2 linked regions of the Drosophila melanogaster genome follow. The protein of the gene in region 1 purifies or fractionates together with the protein of each later gene. This does not show direct contact. Each region holds a gene or a part of one and is shown on either strand. Other genes may lie near its edges.

Region 1 (11,090 bases):
AATATACATACATATGTAAGTTCGATTTTGCGAGGCCCCACTGTACCCATATTACATACATATGTATGTATGTATGTATGTATGTATGTATGTAGAAACCGCTTTACGATCTTGTATTACGTGTTGGTGTTTTGCATGTAGTTGGTTAACAATGTTGTTTTTGCCATTTTACTCTGGTCTTTGTGTGTGCACCGATCGGCTTGTTTCTTGTGCCGACTGAATAATCAAGTCACAGTTCCAGTTCCACCGCACAGCACCCCGTAGCAAAACCCTCGCTCCCTCCCCCCGCAACCAACACTTCGGTCAGTGGCTCGGCACCCAGCAACAACCAGTTATATGTACACACATATATACATATAGCCATATCCACACATACATAAAGTACGTACATGTGCGTGTGTATGGTTCGGAAGGGGGGGGGGAACCGGTTTCCTTTTACTGTCTTGCATATTTTTAGCAACAAGTTGAAAGAGTTGCCTCGCCAAATGGGTACAGTGGGGCCTCGCAAAATCGAACTTACATATGTATGTATATTGTTCGACTTTAAATGTTTATTTAAATGTTGAAGAATGTTTATTTTTGGAAACTGAATGGTCCTCTTTTGGGCATCGGTTCAATATCGTTTGAAATATAGAATATGCATATTAAAGAAAATATTGCAAATTGAAATTAATGAATGTGGCCTGTAGCCGGCAGAGTGCGAGGGAGATGGCAGCGGGTGGGAGCGAGATGTGAAACAGTAAAATTATAATGAAAACGTGTAGAGCGATCGACTGCGATCGGCATTCGCGCTTGTAACAAAACAGTTTTTATTCGCAAAAACAAAAAGAAAGAAAGAAGAAAACCGAATCGGCAAACAGAAACAAGAAATATGTACAACAAAGAAACCCCTTGCGGTCGATGTGGAATTGGTTGAGAGGGGGGTGGCGTAGACGGATGCCACAATAGCAATAGCCACCGCAAACATAGCGCTGCGTCATTGACGTCGGCAAAGCAGCAACAGAGGCAGCGGCAGCGGCAGAGGCGACGCCGCAAAACAATTGCCGGCCATTGTTGTCGTTGTATTTGCAGTTGTTTTGTTGTAGCTGGGACCCCAACGTCGCAGTCACTCACATTTTAGCCCCAAAAGAAAAGGGCATGCTCGAATATGGACGCGGGTTCAACCTGCATAGTTTAAAGAACTGAACCTCTTAGTGCTGGCACTCAAATTGAGGTTAGGTCGAGGTTCCCGCGTAAGTAATTTTTTGCTAGCTTTATGTTTTATAAAAGAAGTTATTCTATTTTGATAATTTTTCGTTTTCTTAGCTCTAAACAAGCGTTTTTAGGCAAGTTTTTGTATCTAAAAACTTTTTTTTATAATTATCTACTGTATACACTAGTTGCTCGCTTCGCTTAAAAACTTTAAATATGTATATTAAGATATATACTTATTAATATTAATGTTAATTCAGTTTGACTATATCTGAATTTCTGAAACGCAATATCCCAAAAGCTAAAATGGCAGGGTATTTTCTTATGAACCAAGCTCTTGTCTTTTTTGTGTTTTCCTTAGTTTTCTCAACATTTTGTTACATTTGCTTTGCCATTCATATTTCTTATTGCTTATTGTTGTTTCCAACAACAGCAGACACTTGTGAGCGGGGTGTGGCAGGCGGCGGGGGGTGGTGTTTCGGTTGGTGCGCCAGAGGGAGAGGCAAAACACAATGGCCACACTTTGACCCTGACTTTTAATGTGTACATTCGCCGTCTCACTCGCACCCTTCACCCGTCCCGCTTCTCTTATGCTAAATTATTGTTATTATTATGAATTGTGCTTCGTTGTTTGTGTTTGTGCTTGTGCTTGTGTTTGTATTTTTGTGGTGTTGTCTGCTAAACACTAAAGTATGATTAATTGACCTGCGGTGGCCGGCGCACTTTAGCACATATTTTCCCGGTCTCAGTACTCCCCGTCTCCCCGTCTCCACGCCTCCCAATCCCCTCTACCACAAGGTATCCATATGATTTTCCCAAGGGGCATATATATACATATGTACATACATGTATTGTAGGTTCAACATCATTAGTAGTTTACTGCTATTAGCAGTTTAATTTGCATAACTAAATTGGCCTTTATCAATTATGTACATATATTACTATATTTAATATATATACCTAGTTTTATTAATGTAAATTTTTCAAGACAATTAAGCTAAACATAGCTATATTTAAAATGAAAATAAAGTTCATTGGTTTACATTTGATAAATAACTCTTTTATTTACATTTTTTGGAAATTTATCTACAATTTCTCTTTTCTCCAAACGTGGTTTTTAATACATTTTTTTTAGCATTCTAGATGCTATTTTAATATATAAACTATACACATGGCTAATTCCCGTTTTTTGTTTTGTTTAATAGAGCCAAGAATCACGTTTAAAAAGTGCAACAGTTTAGTCATTCAAATCGTCATCGTCTCAGCCCAAAAGTATGCTACTAATTAGTTTGAACTAAAAATTGGCAAAAATAAACAAAAAAAAACTTATTGTCGGTTCTAAATTCAAACTAAATCAATTTAAAAATTGGCTAGGGAACGAATGCAGATTTCTTCTAAACGTTGCTCAAAATCAACACAAAGTCAAAAGAATAACTGTTTTGAGCAGCTAATTACCAATGCTAACAATCCCTATCACCTTTTCAAGGATTTAGAAAAATTTATTTTTTGACCAATTTTTGCATATTTTGGTAAGGTAAATTTACAAAAAATGGCAAAAAAATAGAAATACAATTTTTGGACACAGTTGAATTGGAAATTTAATTACGAGCTCGACGAGATATGGCATTCCATACTCAGACAATTATTTTTAAAGTTGCGTCCAAGAAAGGGAATGTTTTTACTCCAAAAATGGAGAAACATTCAATCACATTTACGTGTAATCCATGCTATATTTCTTTTATATTTATAAAAAATTCAGCTCAAAGTGCGTAACATTTAAAATGTAATTTTTATTTTTTGTTATTTCGAGTTCGTAACCTGTCAAGAACGTGGTACAACAAGTTGAAGTCATGCTTTCCTAATACTAATAAAAAAATGTTTGGTTTCAAAAAAAAAAAAATAGGAGAAAGAAGAATTAACAAAGTATGTGATCTGATGATGACCTTTATGGGATCCCTGGATGATCGCCGAACGGCAATGATCAGGGAAGGATTCTCTATATATGGCCTCCTGGTTGATATCCAATGCTGATATCTCCCACCATAAGCTATGATAACCAGCAACTAAGCATTTCGCACGCCGCGCAACTCCTTGTCGGCCTTCTTGAGAGTGATAAAGTTGTTGAGCGCCTTGACACGCAATTTCGACCAGACCATGAAGTTGCCCAGCCCCAGAATGGTGGCCGCATGCAGAGCAGCTGCCTCTGGATAGAGAACTGTGGCACAGCCCAGCCCCGATGGCAGATTCAAGCTGGACCACACGTCCACCTGCATGTTGTCCGATTTGACGGGCGGACAATTGATTACCGGATAGTTGGTGCTGCCGGAAACGACTGGACCCAGTCCATTGGATCGCCCGGCGACGGCCACAAAGATCAAGTTGCTCATCACCGATTCATATTCGCGGACAATGCGCAACGTTTCCTCCGGTCCCTTGTGGGCCGAACTCACGCGAAGTTCCACATTAAGGCCGAGGGATCGACAGCTGGTGGCTATCTTCTCGCTGTGCGATATATCGGAAGCACTGCCCATCAGAATGACAACCAGGTGATCCTTCTTGGGCACAATATCAGCCAGTTGTTCGGCCACCCAAATGAAGTTCCTCTTTACGGTATCCAAATCGCTGGCCGTCACCGATGCCAGATTGCGATACACCTGCTTGTCGACCATCAAACGCTTGTCACCCGCTGGCCACAAGCGCCACGAATCGGAATCAATGATATCGGCCAGAACTATGTTGCCATCGTCGCAGATACCGAACTCCACTTTCATGTCGATCAGGGCGCAATTCTTGGTCTGCCATGCCCTCTCGAGAATCTCGAAGACCAGCAGTGTGGTTCTACGCATAATGTCCACCTCATCTTGGCCTAAAGAAAAACATGTTGCCAGTTTTAGATTTGTATATGTAAAAGTGCTTTATGCCGCAAGTACCCACCGATCACCAGGCCATTTAGCTCGAACTTGGCGGAGACAATTTGCTCCTCGCTCCACTGGGGATCGTGGTTGGCATCATCCTTGAAGAACGTCTCCTGTTTGGGCGGCGAGAACCTGCGCAATGCAAATGTAATTGTAGTAATAAGGCAGCAAATTGAGGCAAATAGATGAATAAATTAAATATCAAGTGACATTTGTATTACTTCTAGTATAATATATATTCTACAGTAACTCAAAGAGGCGAACTTGTTGGCAATCAAAGCCATAAAAAAGAGCTATTGCCTTGGTATGACGACATCAAATGAAACGAATTTACACATAGCATCTCAGCAGCATTGCCCTGGCGAAAATCTTGACTTGAATTACAGATTTCGTGGGCTTTGAGTTCACAAACGATCAATCTTATCAGCGATTGTTGACCCTGCTGCAGTGCATCGATTGCATTTGAATTTGTTTACCGCAAGCGGACACAGATAACACACAGATCGCAACAAATCGAATGGGGTGATAACCCACAGCCAGCCATTGGCTGTTTACCAACCTGTAGCCCTCGGGCACGCCGACATTGCGCTTGAGGAACGAACCGGTGGCCAGGCGACGGGTCACCCACTCAATGGGTATCATCTGGCACTTGCGGGCGATGAAGGCCTTGGCGCCGCACTGCTTCACATAGGCGGTGCGAATGCCTGTCGAATAAGAAGCATTAATTAATTAATTAATTGATCAATTTGGTTAGAAATTGACTAAAATGCATTATAGTTGATTTGACTTATATGGTTTAGCAACTCACCTGCCTCGTTGAGCAGCCGGAAGACCTGACCGTTGGTGGTATTGGAGATCTCCGCCTTGCCGGCCAGATCATGTGCTTTGACACCATCGCCGGCGGTGATGCGATCCTTGCTGAGGAGCAGGCAAAGTCCTGGCTGCTCTGGCAGATCGTACACCTGTTTGGTTTTGCCCTCGATGATGACCTTGCCGAGCTTATAGCCCTCTACTGTGGAAATTCAAGTTGCAGTTGCATTCGTTACGTTCGGTGTTTAGTTAGTATTTAGAATCGATGCTATATGATATATGATGATACTGATTTAAGGAATGGAAAGACAACTTGTTTACGAAATCCACAATTATCTTGATTTAAACAATGGAAAGCCAGCCTTCTTGTTTACAGCAGACAGCTCAATAAACAGCATTAAAATATTATCAGAACCAGGAAAATATTCCGTTGTTTTATTTTTTTGAGTAACCCGAATAACTGTTTAAATAAATCCAAGGCTGGCGGGAAAACATAAACAACTGTCTTGCTTTCCATCACATTAAGCTTGTCTTTTATTGATGAAAGATCGAATAAAAGATGGTAGCTTTGGTACTATTTACGTTCTAGGCACAACAATTGTTTATTTGGAAACCTTGGCGATGGATAAACTTACTGGATGCTGTTGTGGTGGTGGACATCTCGTTAATCGCACGTTGTTGGTCACTTCACTTTAAGAATCGAAATTGAAATCAATTGGCTGCTGGCTGTTTCACGTGTTGCGGGCTTTGCTTTATGCTCGATATTCGCTGGTGCCTTCCCTCTCGCTCTCGCTCTCTATCTCTCTCTCTGTCTTTTTCGCTCTCTCCGCTTGGCTCTATTATTACAATCCGCAAACTCCGATGTTCGTCTGCATCAAAGAATCGCTCCAAAGCAACTGAGCGTCTATAGAATCGCCGGCGCGACTTTATGGCTCGATTTTCTTATCGCCGAACCCCAACACCAATGCAAAGAGATCCATGTGTTTGCGCTCGCGTGTGTGTGCTTGCGTGTGGGTGTGTGTGTGGGCTTAGAGTCGAGTATAATGCTGATTGGTAATACCCTGCAGTTTCCCAAATGGCCGATGAACACCGCGCGGGGCAACTTATGTACTTATGTACATACATACATATGTACATTTTTTGGCAATCTATAAAGCTTTGCTTATGCGTGACAAATTTTATTGTCGCATTTTATTTACAAATTTTGTTTCTAAAATATTTTCTATTCATTTGGTGACTTTCTGAATTTTGAATTTTTCTTGATTTTTGTCCATTCTCCAACTCCTGACATCCACCTCGTCCTGCCTAACATGCTCATCCTGTGATCCTGATCTCTGTCTTTGTCTCTGTCTCTATCTCTCCAGTAGGTAGCCTCTTTATCGTCTTGTTGGCTGAACTGCTCTTTTTGGTGATTGTATGTGTGTATGAAACTTTTCCTTGAGGGAAAAAACGTATATTTCTGGTGAACCCATCTCCGCCGTGTCAATTTGCTCCTCCTAGTGTTCCAAAGCATTGCGTTGCGATCGTCTTCAGTTCAGTTGTTTTGTAGAAAATATATGTATTTTCACTTCTCTCACAAGTGGTTTATTTGAGTGTATTCCTTCTCCTCGGCGGTTTTCTGTCTTTTGAACAAACCAACGTAGTTTTATGCTCCTCTTTAGAATTCTCCTCCTCGCTATCCTCCTCATCCATCACCAGTTGGCCATTTAATGTCGGAAACTTAATGACCGGCAAAATTTTGCGCTGCTGATTGCTTTCATTCATAAGCTTCTTGATGAGATTAGCGATATCCTCACGCTTCTTGGTTACTGTGAGCAGGTCAAACCAATTGCTCAGCTCCTTAATGGGCAGTGTATAGTCGTTGATGGGTTTTGTGAAGAATTGCTCCACATATTGCAGCAGATAGAGGCCGCAATCTGTAAGATTCTGCTGTTGCGGCACCTCCACACTATGACCGGGCATATTATCCTTGTTAAAGACATGCGCCAGCGCATTCGGATACTTGGCCTTGTGCTCACAGGTGAGATAATCCCGCAATATGGCAATCGCTCGATGTCTTGAGGTGACTGCCAACGAATCGAAAATAAGTATCAACGGCTGTTTGATGGGAATATCATCACTGAGTGTCGTCTGCACATTATTATTGTTTACCACCGGGCTTCTAAGGTTTGGATAACATATAATGGCCAGTATCCAATGGGACTGCTCATTGAATGGTATTATAATGAAGTCCTTGTCGAATATATTGACGTTTCGTGTCCACTTCTCAACCCTTTCGTGACGCTTCTGGGCCGCCGTCTGCTTCGTATTTCTGGGATTCGTTCGTGTGGTCAATCTTTTGTGGAAAAACGTGCTAAAGATATGCGTCCTATCGCGCTGTTCCTCTGGTATGATGTTATTCTTTAGCCAGCGCAGATAAAAATCAATGATTATATCGTTCAGATACGATCCTTTACTGAGACACATAAAGTCCTTGATGGTGATGCTCAGGCCACCGGTACCAGTTGGCGGATATGTGAAAAGGGTTTGATTCTCATCGGGTGAAAGTCTTCTCTCGGTTTGGCCATCATCGGCGGCGGTGGTCTCCTCATCACCGCTGCTCACCAGCACCACGGCATCTTCATCAACGTCCCTGCTTAGTATCCAATTGCGATTTCGGCGCAGGCGACTACGCTCTGCGCGTTCTGCTGGTGTGGGTATAGCAGCGTCGCTAGTTGCTTTCACCGCTGGCGAGGATATGGATGCAACATTCGATTGCACCCGCGATTGAGATCCACCAGCTGTCTCTTCCGATTTCTTGCTAACAGCGGCATTGTTCCTCGACTGGATCCACTGGGAGATTGCGGGAGCATCTTCAGCTGGTTGCACGCCCCGAAGACCATTACTCGTCATTGTAGAATTGGAGGTTATAGCCGTGGAGTTGTGACTTCCCTGTTTATTGCCAGATGAACTAGGGTTGTCATGAGAACTAGCAGCTTGAATTCCATTGTTATCCTTTGCAATATGGCACTTCTTCTGTTTCTTGGCCTTGGTATTAGTATTGGCGTCTTGATCCGCCGACAATATCACTTGGCCATCATTGTTTTCTCCCGGACTCCCGCAAGGACTTTTCTTGTGCTTCTTGCCTTTGGTTGCACTTGCAGCTGGCTGGCAACCATTGTTGGCCACCGCAGTCTCTGATGGTTTGACAACCGCAGGGGAGTGCTCTTCACCGGCCATCGCATTGGGTGGAGCGGCATCAGCCGATGATGCCTTTGACTGATGCACCTTCCTATAGAACTCCTCCGCATGGGCAACCGTCTCGGCAATGTTATCACTGATGGGGAAGCCCACAGAGACAACCAAATGGATAATACCGCCGGCATTCTCAATGCAATCAATCGTGGTGCTCTCATCGATCTGAAGGTCCATTTGGAAAAACAGATCCTGCACCCTACACGCAAGATTCGGCAGCTTGAAGGTGACGATGTGCTGCTTTCCACTGCTGTAGATAATCAACATCCTGGCACTTCCTTTGTCCGGATCCGTGTCGGCTCGATTGATCAGCAATTGACGTGAGACTAATATAAAGTCATTATGGGCAATTCGACGTACCGCTTGGTCCTTCGAAACAGTTTCTTTGCGATCCATTTTGGAGCCGGATTCAATAGTATAACATATGTACGTTATATGGGCTGATCTGACTGAACTGAAGTTTCTCGTTTCGATTGCAAATTCTCGGGCTGCTTGATGTGCAAAGTTAACTGGATGGTTGAAGAGTCACCTAACACGGTGACTTTGATCACTATATTCCTTTCATTTTCCAATCTGTGTGTTTTATGCGATATTTGATATCTGTCTATTTTTATTGTTGGGGTAAACGGCGTCCCAAGTGCTGTATCCAAAAATCATCTGTGCGAGTTGCTATCGCCATCGGAGTTTTGCTGCTCATATCGATACATATGTATATGTTTCCAATTGGTATGGATTTTGTGGGGTGTTTTTAAAAATATGTATCGATAGTCCGCTTTGAAATTTGAATGTTGCGAATATTGAAATTAAATAATATTTGAACTGACGAAATATAGGCATTTAAGCGAATCTTAGCTAAGCTAAGTTCTTTGCTTTTCATTTACAAGTATTAGTATTCTTACATGTGGTATTTACAAAGTTATAAGTTCAGCCGTTTGTTGCAAGTTCTTTGTATGGGAATTTTTAAAAACCAAAAATTTATTCTCGTTTTAATTTCAACATTTTGCAAATACAAGTACAGACATTAATCAAATTATAGTTGTGCGTCCGTCATCGGGTCCACCTGTCCGATTTTTAGTCGTCAGCATTGAGCTCCTCTCACCACATGGATCGCTTGGCGGCGATAAGAAAATCAAATGTAAACAAAAATATTATTGTTTTTTTGTTTTTTGCCAAGAGCGTATTTATAAAAAAAAAAAAAAAACAACTGACAGACACACACACGTTTTCCTTTCCGCGGGCCAAAGGGCTCCATTTCGCAATTTGCATCGGTTGCCAAGTGCGGAAAAACGCATCTAAATCACAACGTTGTTAGCTGTCAGAAAGTTTGCCAAGTCGAATTCCTTAAATGTGAAGCAACTGGAAACTGGCTTTTGTTTTACATTTACAAATTTACTATTACTACTACTGTATATACTTTACTAAATAGTGTCATATCTGTGCTGGCTGCAGTAATATATTTTGCAAAATATATTTTTATTCGAATTGTTTTTTCTTATGCATATATTAATTATATATATTATTTAAAATATATTTAACATTTAAGCACGTGGAAAATGCATATGTAAATAATACAACAAGCCTGCTCTATTTTTAAATATCCAGCTGAGTACATCATATTTTTCGGGAAAAACTTATGCTATGTTTTCCGTTAGTTCTTTATTAAATTGAATTTTTCGTTGTAGTCATATAAACTTTTTTGTTTGCTCTAACCAAACCGTTCGCAGAGAAGATGTCATATTTAACTAACAGCTTTATTTTTTTTTTAAATACGCGGGACTTTAATATTTAATTCTCAATTAATTCTCGAAACGATGTTTTTAGTTCATGCTTTTTAGTTCCAAAGCTGAGACTCAAACCCAATGCCAGCTCCATGCAGCGCGGACGCACACACCGCTCGCTATCGATACCCAACAATTAGCCGTCTATCGATATTTGCAGACTATAATATTTTTATTTACACTTGTTGAAAAAGAAAGAACATTTATTTATTATTAAATTTAATTTTTTTGTAATTTAATATAAAACAAATATTAATATAATAAAATTAAAAAAAATAAGATATATTTTCAGATGCATAATCTTAAACTGGTATTGATAAACATAAGTTTGTCGGAAATCAATTGATCGGAAATTTTTTGGCCTCCACTACAAATTGAAAATGCATATACAATTTTAAGATTGCATGCTAATAACTGAAATTGAATAAATTTAAATTTGAAGAAATTCGTTTTCTGAGTCTTCGAATAGCGATGAAAAAAAAAAATAGACATCGATGTTTCGGAAAATCGATAAAAACATCGATGCATCGATGTTAGCTTCGATATTTCGGTACCGCTAGTTGCCACGAAAGTCGCTCGAACGCCGGTAACGGAAATTCTCAGCAAACGCAGCGCAACGTCGTTTTCGCGTCGCCGTCGACGTCGGCGTTGTGTCGTCGCCGCAGCAGCAGAAAATAAAAATAAAAGAGAAGAAAAAGAATCGAAATAACTGCATACGAAATAGATCGAAATAAAAAGTAGTCGCTTTTATTAAAATCCACAACAAACAAAAGCCGAAACGAAGAAAGTGAGCATTCATTTGTTGTTGGTGTGTCAAGCGAATTCCACACGCAGCCGCCAATTGTATTAAATTCGAATTGTTTAATTTAATTGTAAAGGTTTGTCCACAACAAAACGGAGCTGGCGAAAATTGCATTTATTTATGTTTAATTCGAGTGTTTTTGTGTGTGTGTGTGTGCTATGTGTTTTTGTGTGTCTTTAAGTTGATTTCTTTTGCTATTATCCTTGGCGTGTCTGTAGTTCTCTCTGCCACCCTCTCTTTTTGAACGCTCTCTTGGCGCAACCCCCTTTTACCGTTTTTTGCTTATTTTGTTTTGTGCCAGATGTGTTCGTAAGGGAACAACAATATTAACCCTTGATGGACCCAGTTTGCAAAATAGTA
Region 2 (11,631 bases), on another chromosome or scaffold:
GGTTCTTCGGTTTGTTACCCTTCCAAGGAGATAGATTGCGCCACTGCTCGCTCCAGATGAACTTCTGGCTAGCCTGACCTCCTGCCGTGTTAACTCGACTGGGATACTTGATGGGCGTCTCCTTGTGCACCATATTTGATGCCAGGTTCTCGGAAACACTTCCGTCAACAGTGTCCAAGGAAACCTTTGGCACTACGGGCTGTGGCTGTGCTTTAGGCATTTGCCATCCAATGGCTACTTGCGGTTCCGCCGGTGTCCTAAACTCGCTGGCTGTCTTGCCCTCGTAGTTGAGCATATCGGTGATCTTGGGCTCTGTCCAGCCAAGAATAACCTCCTTGGTGGGCGCTCCTTTCCGCCTACTCTCCTGCCGAATATTCCGGTCGTAATTTGAGCCCCGCTTGGATTCCACTACGCGCTCAATGTCACTGAGCGAGGGGCAGGTGGGCAGTTGCTTGTTGCTCCTGGGATGCCTGGGCTTCTCTACCTCAGCTAAAGAAAGACGCAAAGCTCGTAAAAACATCGAAAACCAAGGAACCAATTAATGAAACCGTAAGCCAAATGTTTGGATACAAAACACTTTATTTGGTAAATACATTTGATTTTTGGTAAAAATAGTTTCTATTTGGTTACGGTTTCATTTTCTAGGGCTTACGGGTATAACTTACCCATGGGGAACGATCTGCGCTTGCTGTCTTTTTTGAGCGATGGTTCCAGCTTGCTCGTAGGCACCTGAACGCCACGTTTGCGCAGAAACTCGTCCAGCACTCGCTCGGCCTCCCGCACCGAAGGATTCGTGGAGGTGAGCGAGGATTGCGATAGCTTCCCGTCCAGACTTTGGGAGCTGCGACGCGGCGGCTTCGGAGGCGGCAGCTGCGAGTTCCGTGCCTTGAAGCTGACTTGACCCTGCGAGAGGCGCTTCTGCAGCAGGCGTCCACCTGCTCCGGAACTGCGTCGAGAGCGGGAACTCCTGCGACTTGGCGGCTCGGTGGCCAGCTCTTCTTTCTCCTGATCTTCCTCCACAGCGGATTCCTGTTCGCTGATGTTAGACAAAACAGGAGCTGAGGGCTTATAGGCTATGGGCTCATAGGAAAGCATTTTAGTAGGCTCTCTCTGTGTGCTCCTGTGCCGGCACCTGGAGCTAGAATCTGACAGTTTGTGGCGGTTCACGCGCACTTCGGACACCACACAGTTGTCGTGCAGCTCCTGGATGATGTGTATAAGCGGTTCATCCTCGCCGGCCACGGCTCTCAAGCGACTGACAGCAGTTAAGGGAGTTTTCAAGCCAGAATTTATGCTGGCCGGCTCGCTTCGACGAAGTTTCTCCGCCTGCTGCCGCTGGCTACCGAGATTGTTCTGCTTGGCGGGCTGTAAAATGTGAGTTTAATGAGGGAACTGTAGCGGGCTGGTTAGTGGCTTACCTTGGCGCTCTCAGATCGCCTGCTGCGCCTTGGTAGTCGCACGTGCTGGTCACGTGGCGGTGCCGTGGAGCCGCAGTCTCCGCTGTCGCTGGTGAAGCAGTAGCAGAAGCCGTTCTGGCACGGCTTCCCCTTGCGCTCCTGCTCCTTGTTGCAGCGATTCTGGTTGATTAGGTCCGCATCCGTGGTTCTGCGGACTCGGGGAAGTTGTCGGGACATGTTGATGTGGTTATTGTTGGTCTCGCAGTCGCGACTTTGAGTGGACACACGGCGAATGCGGCGTGCCCTAAACTCGTCGATGCACTCCTGCAAACTGAACGACGATGTGGAACCAGACTCGGCGGAATCCTCCTCCTCCTCCTCCCCCTCTTCTTCATCAACTAGAACATGTTTGGAGAACTTTGAGCCTACAAAAGTCTGGAGGCCAATATGCTGTTCATTTGCACTTGTGATTAAATAGCGATTTAATGCTTACGGTGGCCATTTTGCAGTCTATGTATTTATGGAGCTGATTAGACCAGCTGCATGTGCTCCACTTTTACACGTTGCACGCTTTCTACTCCGCTTCTACTTCGTGTTTTTCCAATCAAATGAAAAGCGACGCCTCGCCTGCATTTTTGTTTTCCGCTTTGTGCCGCTTCTTCTTTATCAGCGAAAGAGAGAGAGGAGAGAGTGCATAACAGCCCTGTCTTGCGTCAGAGATTGGGCAATTGGCTGGTATAACTCAGGCAGCACTATATTCATATGCTTGAAATTGTTATTATTTATACAATTGTTCAAATGGGCTTTACTATTTATTATTTAATTCAGCGCGGAATAGGTTCATATTTAAAAGAGGATGTGCTAGAGATTAATTATGTTCCAATGTAAGCTGGGGTTATAGGGGTTATAGCTATAAAACATAATGTTTCTAGCTAACTCGTCATCTCTGGTCAGAGAGAATCAGCTGTTTGCGGCATGCTATTACGTCGTCTCTTATTTGGAATTGTAAAAAATAGTTAAAAATTGTTTTGAATTAAAAACAAATACAGAATGTCAAACAGCCACTTGTTCTTGAAGTCCGGCTTCCCCCGTGCACCCCTGCAAAATGGATTGGGACGCTATGTTTGTCAGCTCCAGCGGATCACCCTGAAGTTCTGCAAGAATAATGGATCCAGCAGAGGCATGCGGTAAGCAAAATCCTTAAATGTTTACATATAAAGTAAAATTAATCATACGAAACGTTCAATAGCGACTTCATTGAGAATCACTTGCTGGACTTTGCCAAAGAGAATCCCGGGATTGTGGTCTATGTGAAGCCCAGGCGCCACCGCACGCCAGTTTTGGTGGGAGAGTACTGTACGTATACATAATGTATAAGGATGCTCCCTAGAATACACTTTAAATATGTCATCCTGTTCCAGTGAACGGCGAGCGCGAATGGATGAGCTGCAGGAACAGCACCCAAGAGGAGATCTCCAAGTGGATTGACCTGCTAAAGACTCAAAACGGCAGCTCCAGCTCCCTGCGACTCCGGAAAATGTGGCATACCGAAGTGCCCTCCATCCAAGGCCCGTGGACGCCATTCCTGCTGCGTTCGCCGGATGCCCAAGGCCAGGCTTACCCCAGTGCCGAGGCGTCAAAGCCGCTGGATACGCCGCAAACTGCCACCGAGAAGCTCATCGAGTTGTTCCGGCAACAGCAACTGGAAGCTGGCGAGGAAGCACACGACGTGCTGAACAAAAAGCGGGCCGAGTGATAGGGATTAGGACTTTTTGGTAATTGTTGCTTTTATTTTTATAGTCAACATAGTTTTGTTGGTAAACAAATAAATATTTAAAATCTAAACCACTAAACTTGTGCCTCCATCGCTGGAATATCGAACCAAAAGTCATAGAAAAATGCAAACAACTTATTGTCCCCTTAGCTATGTTGCCTTTCAGATAGTTTCGATATGTTTCGGGTAGTTGGAATATCATTGTGGGAGTATCATAAATAATGCTTAAGGTTACCGACCCCTTGGAGGCTTGGAATACGAATACGAATACGAATACAAATACGAATAGAAATAGAAACAGGTTCTGGTGACGACTTAGCATAACCAACTTAGCATCGACTAACGACTGCAGGTGAGATGGGTGGCTCCGATCGGCGGCGATCGGTTAAGTACGCAAAGGTCTGACTAAGACGTTGATATAGTTACTTGCGGGTGCACACAGCGAGTTTGGGAGTATCAAAAAGTAGACCACGAATAAGTAATTGCTTATGTGCCGAAGTATTTTCCATCTAACACTTAAAACTATTGTACATATAGTTACTTTCACACGTACGATCAACGATCAACTTACACACCGATAAAAGCATTTTGCTCGAGTTTACAATTTCCGTTTAGTGAATTCCTTTGGCGAAATGCATTTGGTTCTTCCTAATTATTACTACATAGACCTTGAGTACACGAATGTTAACGTTGTCATCAAAATAATCAATACGGACGTCTTTACACTTTTGATATTGTTGTCAATGTTATATCACTAGTTGAACTAAATTAAACTTCTCCTTAAACCCATGTCTTTTTTCCATTCTTTCCCAGCTCTGCTTCATCTCTGCCGCTGCTGGCCCATATTTATACCTAGATTTTGTATTTTGGTGGTGATGGTGGTGGTGGTGGTGTTGGTGGGTGAGCTTTAAGCAAGCGTTTTCCATTCGCAACTAGCTACTGGCTGCTTTTTGGTTTCGATATATAGCCTTTCGTTCATAGCACGCAATTGCAGCTCAGCTCGCTTTGCGAATCTCCTCAGATATCTCCCGTTTCCATGGCTGCGTTTATGTCCGCCACAATCTTTCCCATCACCTCGCGGTAGGGGGAATCTGGTCGGAAAGCCGTCTCCAGCAGCGCCTCCTCGCCGAAGAAATCGAACACCTCGTCGATGCGGCCCAGCGACTTTTCTGTGAGATGCGGCTGCACAATCGACTTCAGCGCCACTTGCGATTCGGCTATTGACTTTTGCAGGTACGGCAGGTCGAACGTGAAGTCCACTTCGTAGAATGATATGATGGACAGCTGCGTGTTCTGCAACAAAAAAAAATCATAATAACATGTAGTTAAGGAGTAGCATTTAAGACTCACTTGAAACTTTCTCTTAAAGAGCTCCGCCTTCTGCAGCTCCTCGTCGCTGAACTGATTGTTCCGGTGGAGCACACCGATCTTGATCACAATCTTGATGATGTTCTTGATCAGCTTCTCCGCCTTGGCCTTGTTCCCCGTGTGCATCTTGCAGAGCCTGTAGAGGTTGTCCAGCAGCGACGCCGTCGTGCCATCGATGAAGGTCTTGGCGATGTTTTTTGTGGCCATGCGTGAGAGGATCTTCTTCTGCGCCCGCAGCCCGATATCGTGCGACTTGAAGACATTGTCCGCCATGACTAAAGCGGATGGGAGGGGTGGGATTGGAATTCAGATTCAGACATTATTATCGCTGCATATTCATTGACTAAAGCATTGTGGCAAAGAAATACGAGCAGTACGAGCAAACAAAACGGAGCAACAACTCAGCAACCAAGGAAAACTTAAAACTGAACACTGAATGGTGGCAACTGAAAAGCAAATCAGCTCCGCTCTTCTCCGCGGTTTACCTTCCAAGTTCCAGTAGTCGACGCTCCACAGCAGCAGACATTGTCGAAGCCCGGCCACCGACATCGCGACTATATATCACACATATATTACACCGATTCCAGTTGCAAGCATTGATAAGGGAATTATAGACAGAGATATAAAAACATGAATGATTGGGCCATGTACATCAGCGCCGTATCTTTAGATAAAGGAAACCTGGTTCTTTCTTCGCTGTGCTTCTGTGTTTCTTTGTGCTTTACGTGAAGTGGGCAATAAAACAGTCTGTGTGGCCTACGTTTAACTACAATGAGTCACTCAAATGCAATTACTTTTACCTATAGTGCTGGGAACTGAAACATTGGAGGAGAGTCCTGTAGGACTGAAGTCTGTTTAGACTAATAAATGGAATCAACTAACATAAGTCACATTTCTATTTAAAGAACAAAACAAAACGATTAATGTACGCACAACTTTATTTGTAACGAATAATTTCTTATCGAGTGTTCGTCACAAGCTTTTAACAAACAAAACAGGAATCTAACGATAATAAGACATTCTGGGGAATTCGAATTGGGTTATCATCGTAAACACAACATAAAACGAATAAATTTGATATAAGGAATTTAATGTACAGTCAAAGTTAGAGCTCCGCTGCTCCACAACTTTGCTGCTTTCCACACACAGATATAGGAATGCTGCCGTATTAATAATGGATGACCAACTGCGCCCCTCTGACCGTATCTATAAGGTCGTTCTAACGGCGCGGCGTACGTGCTGGAGCCCGAAATGGAAATGCGGCAGTGCTTCCAACTGTCCAAACAAGGAGTCCCGATCAGAGCTAGTTGGGTGACGGAGTGCTGGGGGGAGGAAACCGCTGGCGGGTCAACAGAGTTCAGACACACATAGGTATTAACTAGAAGTCGTGACTAAGCCTAATCTGGAGCAGGGCATCCCTGGTTGCTAATTTAACTAAGTGAATGCCAGTTCCAGTTAGATAACGCCCGGCAATAGAACCGTGTCAGGACACGGACTGCTCCAAATGGCTAAGGTCACGCGAAGTGCAATAAAAGAAGGCCTATCCCTTCAAAGGAACGGAGTGTGGGTCCCCCAAGGACGCCAGTGGAGTGCGGAAGTGCGCTACAGCCGAAACCACAGAGTACTTGAGTTCGTTGGGCCATTCTTCTCCTGGCTTTCCTGTTTGTCCTGCATTTGCGTGTTCCGTTTTCGCAGCAGGAGGGTTTCTTTACCTTCTGGGTGTTATTGATTGCAACAGGCTGTGTGTGATGCCCGCCCCCTTGAAACCAGAATAGAAATCCAATTTGGCGCTCACCTGTTTTTGTTTTTGTTGTTGCTGCAGTCCTTGAATCGAATCCTTGAGTCCTTGAGTCCAAGTATGTGTGTGTATGGGTGTAATGTGTGCTTGATGACCAGTGTCCGCAAATCGAAGTGCTAGCGAAAGCAACTGAAAGGGGTTGGCTGCATTAAAGCCCGCGAACTGCGTACAATTTGCAGCTAAATTTATGCGCAACTTCGATTAAACATAAAACAACTCAGCGAACAGCAACAAAAACAAAATATCAGCCTGTGAGACCAGCTGCTTGTAGCAACCAAATGTTAGACTGAAACGAATCAATCTTCCGTGGCTAGTATTATTTTCACTTTTGGCGGTTCTCCAGTCTTTCGCAACAGAATGCGTTTACTTCCCATCTGAGCACGGTCACACTGCCCAAGAGTCCAGCTGCGTCGTTGAAAAATATTTTCGATGCCTCGAAGGTTGATTTATTTCAGAGGAAATAGCAGGAAATAAAGTTGAAAACGCAGATTACGAGCAGCAGCCGCCAAGAGGAGTGCACAATGAACATTTACAACAAGTTGCGGGCCAGGGAGCATGGCTACGGTGAGTCTTTCGCTTGGCGGGAGAATCTCACTTTTGGCGCTCGAATTTCCTGCGATCAAAGGTGTTGATTTTTAAAAGGTTTCAATGGGTTTTCCTGGCCATCTGGTCAATGTGCATCCTGCACGGCCACCTGACCACAGAGCATTGCCTAAGGGGTGAAGAAACCCGACTAGTTGCTCCACTGGAAACTGCTGATCGTGCAGAAGTTCCGTGGAAAACAAAGCCACGGCACTATTTTCATGGTTTCTCCTCTGGTTTTCGTTTTTCTTTTTAGGCAATGAGAGGACCTACGACTTCGCCCTGCGCCGCCTTTCCGTGGCCAAGGAGGACAGCTGGCGGGGCATCGCGCCGGCCAACTACTGCCCAGACTTCAATCCGGAACCGCCGATCTTCTCCGCCAAGTTCGCCAACTGCGATGGCTATCGGCACATCCTGGCGATCGCCAACGAGGACGGCAAGATCACGCTGCAGGACACCACCCAGCGCAACCACCAGCCGGAGGAGCAGTCCCTGGTGGGCCCGCAGTGCCACTTCAACGCCGTTTTCGATCTGGAATGGGCACCCGGCCAGATGCGCTTCGTCTCCGCCTCGGGCGATCACACTGCCAGACTGTGGGAGGTGGCGGGCTCCGGCATACGCGGCCTGAACTCCTATGTGGGTCACACAAGGTCCGTCAAGTCGGCGGCCTTTAAGCGCACCGATCCCGCTGTCTTCGCCACCGGCGGCCGTGATGGCGCCATTCTCATCTGGGACATCAGGGCCAATCTCAATATGGACCTCACGTCACGCGTGGACAACTGCATCTACAGCGGTCACACGGGCGGACCGGGCACGCCAGTCTCACAGCGCAAGCAGCGCACACGCACTCCCAAGATGGCCGGAGGAACCACCTCGAGCAGCATCACTGGCTTGGCCTTCCAGGACAACGATACGTTGATCTCCTGTGGTGCCGGTGACGGAGTCATCAAGGTGTGGGACCTGCGGCGCAACTACACAGCCTACAAAAAGGAGCCACTGCCCAGGCACAAGCTGCCATATGCCGGCAGCTCCACCTTCCGTGGATTCACCAACCTCATTGTGGACGCGTCAGGCACGAGGCTGTATGCCAACTGCATGGACAACACCATCTATTGCTACAATCTGGCCTCCTACTCGCAGCGCCCGCTGGCGTGCTACAAGGGACTCCTTAACTCCACGTTCTACATCAAATCCTGCCTCAGCCCGGACGGCAAGTATCTGCTGAGCGGAAGCAGCGACGAGCGGGCTTACATCTGGAACCTGGACCACGCCGAGGAGCCGCTCGTTGCACTGGCCGGACACACGGTGGAGGTAACCTGCGTGGCCTGGGGCTCCAGCCACGATTGCCCCATTGTCACGTGCAGCGATGATGCGCGTCACAAAATCTGGCGGATTGGACCCGACCTGGATGGCCTCAGCGAGGCGGAGCGGGCGGAAAAGTACCGAGGAACTGCCTCCTACGTCAGGGAGTTCGGCAAGAAGGCATTTGGTCCGTCTAGTGGAAATCACAAGTACAATCTTCGAGATCTGGAGTCCACGCCAAGATCTCTGAAGCGCCTTATGGATCAAAATGAAAGGACGCCAGGTTCCGTGGAAAAGACGACGACCAAGCGTTCGTTCCTGGAAATGCTGGGCGTAGCTGGCCAGGAGACGGAAGCCACAGAACAGCCCCAGAAACGGGCGAAGCCACTGGAGTCACGTGGAAGGCGGCTCTTTGGACCTTCTAGCCAGGAAACTGCTTGCAGGCACATACAACTTCAGTCCATAAACGAGGAAGATGCCTCGCCGAGCAAGAGACAAAAGGAGAACTCTGCCGCGGAGGATGTCTCACCACTGCACAAGCTTCTCAGCACACCAAGTCATTCCCCTTTGAGTGAGAATGTCAACCATGTGTACACCTCCCCGCCAACCACGTCAGCGGCAGCAGCAGCGGTGGCTGCAGACGCGCTTAATCCGCCGCCGATCTCCGCTGCCATCTACTCGCCCACCTCCAACCTGCCCAATTACGTGCTGGATGGCGAGGCACCGCACCTGGGCATCATGTCGCCCAAGCGGAAGGCGAAGGAGAAGGTGGACTGGCTGACGAATATCCGCAAACAGAAGCTGATGAGTGGCAGGGCCCATGTGACGCTCAGCGAAAAGATCAGCGAGGAGCAGCAGGCCGATGTGCTGGCATCCCCGCGCCTCCAGAGTCTGCGGCAGTCAGAGTGCAGTCCCAGGATACACGCCTCGCCCCGCAGACGCATCTCCCATACGGACGGAGGCGGTGGCACGCCGGCTGGCAGCTCCTCGCACTCCCATTCCCAATCCCAGCCAAAAACGCCCACTTCCAGTAGGCGAAACAGCGAGACGACGCTCCTGCGATTCTTTAGCATTCAGAGAAGTAGCAGTGTGCCGGCGGAGGAAACAACGACAACGAATGCGGCTCCCTCCTCTTCTGATCCCCATCCCCCGGCAGTGACTGCGCCCGCAGCCACGCCCCTCAGCATGCGCACGCCCACGACGGCGGTGGGCAGCGATTGACGCGGAGCCTCGAGCCACAGCACCATTATTGCACTTGTAGTTTTAAGCGGACATTGTTTAAGTTATTTTATGTAGATAGTAGGTTGCATCTATCGCGGGACGAGTTGGTAACCAACTCCCCGCCCTCTGTACAGAGCCAAAAGATACGAAAGACTAACGTACCCGAATAAAAGTAACTCCATTTTAAAGCTGCCTTGATTGATTCTCTAAAAACTAACTCGTTTAATGTACTGTTTATTCAATTTTTTTTTTGGCATAATCAAAACGGTTTATATGTGGCACTCATGGCTAACAAGTGGCACTCAGACCATTTTACTGCAGCTTTTTCTGTTGCTCCTGCTGCTCCCTCTTGGCCGCATTATTAATCCGCATGGTCTGGACAAGCTGCTTGGCCACCCCAGCGAGCAGTATGATGTGGGTGAAGTGAAGGGCAGCGCTGGAGAAGTTCGTACTGGGATAGGTGTTCCAGCAGTACTCAATCAGTCCGAGGATCAGGCAGCGCACGCCCAGCGAGTACGGCGTCGACCAGGCCAAATAGGGTAGCGAGTGGAAGTACCAGACGTAGAACTGATAGTGCAAGGATCGGGAGCAGGCCACGCCCACCAGGTTGCACAGGAAGAACGGCAGCAGGGCCAGCTGGGTGCAGCGATCGAAGTGGATGCCATAGCGTTCCGGTTCCGCCTGTGCGGGTGCCGGAGTGGCCTTTCCTCCAGACGCCTTCTGCAGGCTCTTCTCGAAGGCCTTCAGGAAGGATTGCTGCTCGGTTGTAAACTTCTTCTGGTCCTTGTCCTTGTCCTTTTCCACTTTCTTTGGTCTTTTCTGCGCGTTCAGCTCGAGGTTCTGCTGGGCTATTTGCGGCTGCAGCTGATCCTCAATACGGCGCAGGCGCACGTAGCTCTGGAAAAAGGTCCAAGTGGGCTTGGCGAAGGCCAGCAGGAGCAGCAGATGCAGGCCCAAAAGCGAAACGTGGAAGGTGCGGTTCTCGAACAGATCTCTGCTCAGGAAGCGATAGTTGACCGTCCACTTGTGCTCGAAGATGCGTCCCAAATCAAAGCTGCCCCGCAGATACTCCACAGGATGGGTGAGCAGGAAAGGAGCGCCCAGCAGCAGTTGTATCACTCCGCAGACAGCCAGCTGCAGGATCGTCCGCAGAAGTCCCAGGTTGGCCAAGTAGAACAGCAAGAGCGCAGGCGCAAACAGCAGGATGTTCATCTTAACGCCCACCGCCAAGCTGAAGAAGGTGCTACCCAGGGTCCACCTTCTGTCCAGGAACAAATTGAGTGCGGCATAGAGGAGCAGCACTGCCACCGGATCGTTGAACAGTCGCAGCACGTATATCGAGTGGATCCGATACGACGTGAAGGCACTGAGCACTAGCACATACGGCGGCACCTTTCTGCTCTTCGAGTACAGCCTCAGCACCAGGGCCAGCTGGAGCAGGTAGATCCCGGCGAAGATGTACTGCGCCAGGCGAACGTTCGTTCCGTGGGACGTGACGTAGTAGAGAGCCGAGTAGATGTACACGAAGGCGGCTGGATACACAAGAGGTCCTGTGTCGCCTAGGAAATCGAAAATCGAAGAATTTCAATTATCATAAATTAGATAGAAGGAATGCAATTAGTCATTGTTTTCATTCACTAAGCAGTTATTTCAGTCTGTTTGGGCCTGGGAAAACTATTATATCCATTGAGTTACACTTCATATTTATTTTAAAGGCAAAACTTTAGTTAACTTATTTAATATACGGCTTTTTTAACTTTAACGGTATATAACGATATTTCATTCGCTTTCACGCCGGTTGGTATTTTCGCTCGCTACGCACGCGGTCACATTGAGCAAGTGCGAGTGAGAGAGAGAGAGACAGACATTCGTAGGACAGCATGGATGTTACGGCATGTTGTTGAAAAGCTGAAAATCTGATACTTTTATGGAAAAATGATGATTTCGTGTAAAAAATTATTCGTGTTCCGGCAGCTGCCGGCGGTGCGCCGTTGCCTAGCGGCAGCCGCGTTCTCCACGCCACGCGCGACCTCCTACCGAATCCTCTCCAGCGCCGGGAGCGGAAGTACCCGGGCAGACGCACCCCAAGTGCGCCGCCTGCACACCACGCGCGACCTCCTGGCCAAGGACTACTACGCCACGCTGGGCGTTGCCAAGAACGCCAACGGCAAGGACATCAAGAAAGCCTA

What was found.
Region 2: the proteins of Paics (region 1) and sigmar purify together in Drosophila melanogaster (affinity purification with mass spectrometry, with the first as the bait; one large-scale study listed by BioGRID). This does not show direct contact.

The regions. Positions count from the first base shown.
Region 1 is NC_004354.4:12,754,798-12,765,887, forward strand, and holds Paics (PAICS bifunctional enzyme), read right to left. Parts: upstream 5,821-11,090; 5' UTR 5,577-5,820; coding exon 5,552-5,576; intron 5,119-5,551; coding exon 4,915-5,118; intron 4,811-4,914; coding exon 4,666-4,810; intron 4,239-4,665; coding exon 4,126-4,238; intron 4,058-4,125; coding exon 3,255-4,057; 3' UTR 2,963-3,254; downstream 1-2,962. Other genes in the region: pira (pirate), read right to left, coding at 6,501-8,546. UniProt on the Drosophila melanogaster protein: Bifunctional phosphoribosylaminoimidazole carboxylase and phosphoribosylaminoimidazole succinocarboxamide synthetase catalyzing two reactions of the de novo purine biosynthetic pathway.
Region 2 is NT_033778.4:23,695,777-23,707,407, forward strand, and holds sigmar (salivary glands marred), read right to left. Parts: upstream 6,631-11,631; 5' UTR 6,335-6,630; intron 5,094-6,334; 5' UTR 5,089-5,093; coding exon 5,025-5,088; exon of another isoform or gene 4,815-5,024; coding exon 4,522-4,814; intron 4,465-4,521; coding exon 4,189-4,464; 3' UTR 3,173-4,188; downstream 1-3,172. Other genes in the region: CG30183 (uncharacterized protein), read right to left, coding at 1-489, 666-1,365, 1,419-1,832, 1,891-1,899; mRpL43 (mitochondrial ribosomal protein L43), read left to right, coding at 2,448-2,584, 2,647-2,753, 2,819-3,153; l(2)dtl (lethal-(2)-denticleless), read left to right, coding at 6,859-6,901, 7,176-9,442; Alg3 (ALG3, alpha-1,3- mannosyltransferase), read right to left, coding at 9,755-11,001; CG5504 (uncharacterized protein), read left to right, coding at 11,378-11,631. UniProt on the Drosophila melanogaster protein: Important for modulating JNK signaling, cytoskeletal remodeling and autophagy in larval salivary glands.